Linked DNA regions of Danio rerio. The protein of the gene in region 2 interacts with the protein of the main gene of each other region in a biochemical or structural test. Links are inferred from orthologs where the notes say so. Each region holds a gene or a part of one and is shown on either strand. Other genes may lie near its edges.

Evidence for each region. The genes of interacting proteins can lie anywhere in the genome.
Region 1: the proteins of npm1b (region 2) and hmga2 interact in far-western blotting, tested with the Homo sapiens proteins (2 studies listed by BioGRID). The link is inferred for Danio rerio from reciprocal best matches to the Homo sapiens genes NPM1 and HMGA2.

Annotation. Positions count from the first base shown.
Region 1 is NC_133179.1:13,434,521-13,438,764, reverse strand, and holds the start of hmga2 (high mobility group protein HMGI-C), read left to right. Parts: upstream 1-1,434; 5' UTR 1,435-1,886; coding exon 1,887-2,003; intron 2,004-4,243; coding exon 4,244-4,244.
Region 2 is NC_133189.1:6,162,400-6,165,914, forward strand, and holds part of npm1b (nucleophosmin 1b), read right to left. Parts: intron 630-3,515; coding exon 536-629; intron 145-535; coding exon 47-144; intron 1-46. UniProt on the Homo sapiens protein: Involved in diverse cellular processes such as ribosome biogenesis, centrosome duplication, protein chaperoning, histone assembly, cell proliferation, and regulation of tumor suppressors p53/TP53 and ARF.

The sequences.
Region 1 (4,244 bases), on a different chromosome or scaffold from region 2:
TAACTATTTCATGTTTTGCCAGTTTAGTGACGAATTCGCACAAATTCAGTCTGTAAGATTTTTAAAAGGAGGCGTGGCACCCAACCCCATCCCTAAACCAAACCATCATTGGGGATAAGCAAATCATACTAAATTGTACGAATGAGATCGTACGATTTCATATGAATTAGACACTAAATGGAAAAAGTTGTGAATTGCATTGAGAAAGCCATGTTTTTTTTCCCAAAAAGAACGAAAACATAACGTGTATCAAGTGTTGACCATTTTATAATTGTTATATAATTTTTCTTCTATAATAAATGAAAACGCACAAAGTGTGACAAAGTCACAAAGTCGAATGCGTATTTAAGCATTTATGTGGATAGATGACATACAAAGTTAATGCAAATGTGTGAATAGAGGCGAAATTACGCAAAATGTGCAAGGTGTTTGCCATTTAATTTTCCCCTATCGCACATTCTGTGCGAGTTAAAAAAATAAACTGGAACAGAAAATTTAGATATGCAAAAAACATCCCGCAAGCCTGACTGATGCGATGCTTCGTGTCTGGTGTGAACCAAGCATATTCGCACCTATAATACTGTTTCTGTTTTGTGTGGCAATTTGTAGCAACTGTCATTTGAACGTTTTTTAGGAAAAAAACAAAAACAAAAAAAAAGACAATTGTTGCTCCTTTCCCAACCCTTATATTATTGATTTGTTTAATGAGTGAAAACATACAGCTGGAAAATTTCTCAACCATAAAGTTATATATATATATATATCCTTTAAAAAAATGTGGCCTTAGTGAATTTATTAATAATTCTATGTGTGATTTTTTTTACTATTAGGGTAATTCAAGTGTATTGCAAAATACTAAAAAGTGTTGAAATGTGAAATGATCTCATTGTGCGGCAAAGGCAATAGGTTTTTTTAATCTTAAATATTTGTTTCGGAAAAAGTAAAGCTACTCTTAAAAGGTATATCTAAAGCAAACTATATGAATAGGTATGGGATATGAGAATCGCAAGCACATGCAAGTTTACATATTGCTTCGATTTTTTTAAACAAACAAACAAACAAACAAACAAACAAACAAACAAACAAACAAACAAACAATCAAACAAAAAACAAAACAAAACAAATAAACAATCTAGGAAGCAGTGCTGCTATGTCTTTAAACGTGCTGGAGTGAAGCCAGTAACATGAATGGTGCTGGACACGTGAGTTTGTCTCGATGTGGTCTCTCCTCTTAGTATTTCTCATGTTTTCTCTGGCAGTTGTCCAATTCTTTTCTCTCTCTCTCTTTTTGCGCCTCTCGTGCCCCCTCCTTCCTCGTGTTATCCACCCACGGGAAAAGTGATTTTCGCCTCTCTCTCTCTCTCTCTCTCTCGTTTTTTTTTTTTTTTAAATGTATATACCTCATCCTTATCCCCAGTCTGTGGACTTATTTCCGTGTGGGAAGCAGGGATGCATTTAAAATGCCCCCATTTTTTGTTTTACTCAAACCAATCCGCGTAAAGTCTTTCCCCGCAATTTCTTGAATCCGCAGTAGCGTGGAGATCAGTCCGTGCACTGTCACACTGCGAATGTCTCGTTCAAATTGCAATCGATCACCGGGCTTATTTTATTCCTAAAGCCACCCCCACTTAATTCTACACAGGAGACTTTCCCCTCTGTGTGTGTGTGTTGTGAGCCAAATTCTCCAAACCAAGACGCAGCACGTGCTTCTCACAAACACACAACGCGCTTTAATTTATATTTTGCATGAGCGCACCGGGTTTGAACGCTTTGTTTTGCTGAGCGCGGGACACTGACCGACTGACTGACCGATCGGCCGAGAGCTCGTGCTGCGGGAACTGAAGGTGCGCGAGACTCTGTTTGGATCTCATTCACACACACACAGGATGAGCGCGCGCGGAGAGGAAGCCGCCGGCGAGGCTTCAGGATCGCAGGAGCAGCCCGAGCCTGCGCTGGCTGAGCCAAAGAAGAGGGGACCCGGCAGACCCAGAAAGCCGCAACAGGTCAGTGTGCGACTCCTTTACCTTTGCTAAATTTAGAAAGGACGCGTTTAAACGTGCTTGTAAACATTTTTAGTGTAAGCATGTTACTTTTTGCGCACTTGTTTACGCACTGCTTAAAAGCGGAACTGGCTGCAGGTGTTAAAGTAAATATGGACATTTTTTAAACTTAGTTTACACAGCTGAACACCAGGATAGTAGACCAGCATAGTAACTAAGTGTTGTTTAGGATGTTTTTATTTTTCGGCAGAATCAATATAACCAATTTGGGATGTTTTTAATTAGCTCCGTTAATTAGATTTAGTAAATCTTTATCCCCTATTAAATGCTGTGCATTGTGTTACACAAAATAAGGTATTGCATACCTTTGCACTTTTGCACACCATGTACTTTAGTACACGTTTATCTGTGTAATTCACACATAACAACCATTTTATAAAGAGAAAATCAACATCATGAGTTTAGTTTTAGTTTTTTCCTTTAATAAAAAGTCCTTACGTTATCTTTTTTTATTTCAGCACTTACATTTTGTTTATTAAAGTGCATATTTCTAATTAATGTAGATGGATTGTAAAATATTTTTAATTAATTAATGCAAGACTCACTGCTGTCACTGCTTGAAATGTCAACTACATAATGTTATGTCAAAAAAGTTTATTCTACTCAATTCAAACATGGTGTTTTTAGACAAAAGAATCTGTGCTTTGCTGTGTGCATTTAAAGTTTCTCTCTGTCGCAGTCTGAATGTATAGCCTGTACAAGTATTAGGCTTATTGTACGAGTAGCACTTGTTTGCATTTGTACAGGAAGCCCTTTTTTTCCTATAGCAGATAGCATTCCAAAATTACACGCTTGCCATCTGTTGATCACAACGCTCTATTATATGTAATGCTAATGCACTTCACAGAGTCGCTCTGGTTGTCTTAAATGTAAATGCAAATGTATATGCTGCACTACAGGCTTATTTGAATGTGCTGAGGTGAAAGCCAGTTTAGAAATGTTTAATCAGCCCAAATTTGATTTAATTTTAATATTTGAGAAATGCTGTGGATTGATATTTAGATTTTTGTTGTTGATGTGGTTACTATAACAACAAGAATGTACTTGAAATGCACCGAACATTTAACTGTTTAGTCATTACCACATCCTTCAAAAGTCTTGTTTGTGCTTGGAGGATGTGATTCACTATCTCAAGTAATTCACCAGTGAGTCACGCTTGTACCTCTAATTGCAAGTGGCCATCAGGATGAGCTGGCAAGTGGGGTTAAAAATAAATCAATCAGTCATTAAATGTTGATTTTAGTTGGCATTTACCACTGTGATAAAACAAATAGTGAATTCAAATGAATTTTCATTTAAAATGAAGATTTTATTCGGGCAGATAAATTTACTGTACTTACTTATATGTATAGTAGTAATTGCTCTTTTATTGACTCTGTTATAATTGCTTTGTTATCTTGCTGTTAGTTCAGTTTAATCTTACATGGCTACAAATTGTAAACATGTCTGTGCTCTTTGCAAGAATTATAATTAAAAACAGTTGTTGTTTTTTCTATATGCACATATGCTTATAGACACATCATTGTTTGCTCTTATCTAGTAAAGAGTGAATGGAAGACCACTGGTTAATGTGTGTATGATTGTCAGGGACCCTGTATTCTTTGAGACTGAGCAGAGTGCATATATAAACAGAAATATTTGGACAATTTTTGAAGGGCTACCTTAAAAAAAACTTTTCTATAATTTATTTATTATTTAAAATAATTTATTTATTTATTTATTTATTTATTTATTTATTTATTTATTTATTTATTTATTTATTTATTAATTTATTTATTTATTTAATTATTTATTTATTTATTTATTCATGTATCTAAGTTATAACTAAATTAATTCTAATGCAAATAACATCAAAAAATAATCAAGGTGGACTAGCACTATTTTGGAAGTATTTGGTCCTAATGTGTGCTTTTTTTATGGATGTATGTAGTCATTTCACCTCAAGCTGACACAGTAGCATAACCACAGGTGTAGTTTGTCATATTACCTAACCTAAGCACATGATCCAATAACATTTGATCTCAGGAAAGTGCTTTATCATTTGAAACCTTAAAAACTTGCTTCAAAATTGTGCTTTTGCATTTATCCAAATAAATGACTTTGGTGATAGAAAGTGGCACAGCAGTACTCTATAGATTTGTTTGCTGTTTTCATGGCCTAAGTTCACCTCCTCTCCCCTTCAGG
Region 2 (3,515 bases):
CCAAAAGTATCAATTGTTATTTAAGGTGAAGTTAAGGACAGATCACCTGAGGCACTTTGGCGAGGGTCATGTTGGACGGTCTCTTCACCGGTGAAGTGTTGTTCTCCTCTTCCTCCTCATCCTCATCATCTGACTCCTTGACACCTGAGCAAACCACAGAGTTGGAGGCATCAATATTCTGACATCTGTAAGTGGCAGGCCTAAATGCTAACATCCACAGAATGGAGCGACATGCTGAAAGTGTCTGAACAGCATGAGCAAAACATATGGAAGCGATTATACAGGCATAAATGGAGTCGCATGGTAATTTATAATTCACTTTTGAGTCTGTGTAGAGAAAGAGAGAGAGAGAGCGGGGTCAGATTAATCCCATGGACACTGCAATAGGTAGAAAGAATCGTTCCATCACAGAGAGATGAAGAGCAAACAAGAGAAGCAAAAGACACACATGGGAAATGGTCCTCCTGAACTCTTTGTTTTGAGTGCATGTGTCCGTTTCTTTTTTAACCAATGAGAGAAGACAAATGGTACTCACTGACAAAATGTTGACCGCTGATGTAGACCGGCCCCCCTCCGGACTGCAGACGAAAGGACACAGGAGGAGTGACCTCAAAACCGCCCAGACTTAACTAAAGATGAAAAAGGGAAGGATCTCTTTCAACAAACACAATGGAAATGTAATGGGCAATGCGCACAGCTAGTGTTTTTCAGCCATTGATAAACTTCTGAAAGGTTAATGTGACTATCAATTTTATTTCATAACTTTCCTCTTACAGCAGAGGTGTCCACACTCTGTCCTGGAGGGCCGGTGTCCTGGAGAACCTCCAGGACTGACTTTGGACACCCCTGTCTTACAGCATCGATGATGTAATGTAGTTAAAATACAATCAGTTAAATAGACTTAAGCATTTAGTTAGTTGTTCAAGCGTAAAACGAGATGAAGGATCATGTAAACACTAGTGCCGTCAGAAGCAGCAGTCTAGCACAGAAGCTTCATTAGAAATACTGGGCATAATATCCATTCATAGGTCACTTTATTAGGTACACCTGTCCATCTACTCGTTAATGCGAATTTTTAATCAGCCAATCACATGGCAGCAACTCCATGCATTTAGGCATGTAGACATGGTCAAGACAAACGGCTGCAGTTCAAAGCGAGCATCAGAATGGGGAAGAAAGGTGATTGAAGTGTCTTTGAATGTGGCATGTTGGTGCCAGACGGGCTGGTCTGAGTATTTCAGAAACTGCTGATCTACTGGAATTTTCACGCACAACCATCTCTAGGGTTTACAGAGAATGGTCAGAAAATGATAAAATATAAACTGAGCCAGAAGTCAGAGGAGAATGGCCAGAGTGGTTTGAGCTGATAGAAAGACAACAGTAACTCAAATAACCACTCGACACAACTGAGGTATGCAGAAGAGCATCTCTGAACACACAATATGTCCAACCTTGAGGCAGATGGGCTACAGCACCAGAAGACCAGCTAAGAACAGGAAACTGAGGCTACAAATCGCACAGACTCACCAAAATTGGACAATCAAAGATAGGAAAAACGTTGCCTGGTCTGAGGAGTCTCGATTTCTGCTGCGAGTTCGGATGGTAGGGTCAGAATTAGGCATCAACAACATAAAAGCATGGATCTATCCTGCCTTGTATCAATGGTTCAGAATGATTGGTGGTGGTGGTGTAATGGAGTGGGGGATATTTTCTTGGTACACTTTGGGCCCATTAGTACCAATTGAGCAACTGAGTATTGTTGCTGACCATGTTCATTCTTATGACCACTGTGTACCCATCTTCTGATGGCTACTTCAAGCGGGACATCGCGCCATGCCATAAAGAGCAAATCATTTCAGACTTCTTTTTTTTTTTAACATGACAATGAGTTGACTGTACTTAAATGACCTCCAAAATCACCAGATATTAATCCAATAGAGCACCATTGGGAGTGGGTGGAATGGGAGATTCGCAGCAAGCACGTGCAGCCGACAAATATGCAGCAACTGCATGATGCTATCATGTCAATATGGACTAAAATCTCTGAGGAATATTTCTAGTACCTTGTTGAATCTTTGCCATGAAGGGTTAAGGCAGTTCTGAAGGGGGTCCAGCCCAGTACTAGTAAGGTGTACCTAATAAAGTGGCCTATGAGTGAACATTTTCATATTTTAAAGACATGGCAGGGAAAAATGGAATTTAATGCATTGCTTTTTGTCCAGTCTGAGACCTGCTTTACATCCTATATCAAACAGGTAGTAAAGATAACTGATTTGTAATGAAATCAGACCTTGTAATGGCAACAGTAACACAAAAAATTAAAAATTAAAACATGTTCTTTCTGTGCCAATGCTTTGCAAAAAATATAAATAAATAAAAAAATTCAGATGATGAATAATTCCCAACAAAAACAAGCGAGAATTCCTTCCAAGAAAGAATTCATGACTAGGATTCGTCCTGAACATTCCATGCCAGTACATCTGAGACAGGCCTACAGCTAAACATCAGAATTGCGCAATTGGAGAAATACAAGCCACGGCCAACAATTTTGAATGAACATTCCAACGCGCCAGGCAACGGCCCTTGCATCGATGGCAACCAGATGTAAACAGCTGAGGGCGCGATGGTCTGCTTAATGCTTTAAATGACAGCTATGGAACTGTTGCAATTACGTTGAATGGCGAGCAATCCCTCATGTCCAGAATCATCTCAGATGATCCGTTTCAACACAAACGCTGACTGATGAGCTGATTGTCTCTAGAGCAATCCAGACAAAACCGCCTAATTACGCTACAATTATTGCTCTACATTTTTTTTTTTTTTTTTTGAGTCAGTTATCCTGGGAGTAAAATCCAAGATCTTACATTCATCACTGAAACAACAATAAATACGGATTTGAAAATTAGGAAAAGTTTTAAAGTCTGCATGAACCGGAAGCTGCAACCCTTTTTTTCCTTAAATTGTGACGCAGTTCGTAGAGAAACTAAATATTACATGAGCAAAAAGTGGGCGCGGCTTTTTTTCTACTGCAAGCTGATTGGATTTAGTAAAGTAGGCATTTCATTTAGGAACTTCGGGAAAAGGGTTTTAGTTATTACAACCCATAGATATTGACATTAGATGTTGCCTACCCTGTTGTTGTCTATTGGAAAGAATGTGTTAATGGAGCCGCCATTTTAGTACAGGGTAGCGCTCCTTTGAAATGGATGCAGACCAAGGTGCAGTGGAGGACTGGACATCCAGAGCCAGAGATATATAAACATATATACATATATCGATGATCGGGAGTTTCCCGGCGGTCAGCATGCGAATATTTTTTTTTTTTTAAATTTACGAAAATTATAATTTTACATAACTTTTTTTAAAATTGATGGATGAGTGATCACATGCACTTTGCCGACAAAAAGCATGCGTTTGTGTGCGTAGAAATGTATTATCTTCCCTCCTGGTTACATTTGATCTAATCCGTGTCCTGAAACACACCTGTTCTCCAGCTTTCACTTCTCATTCTAACA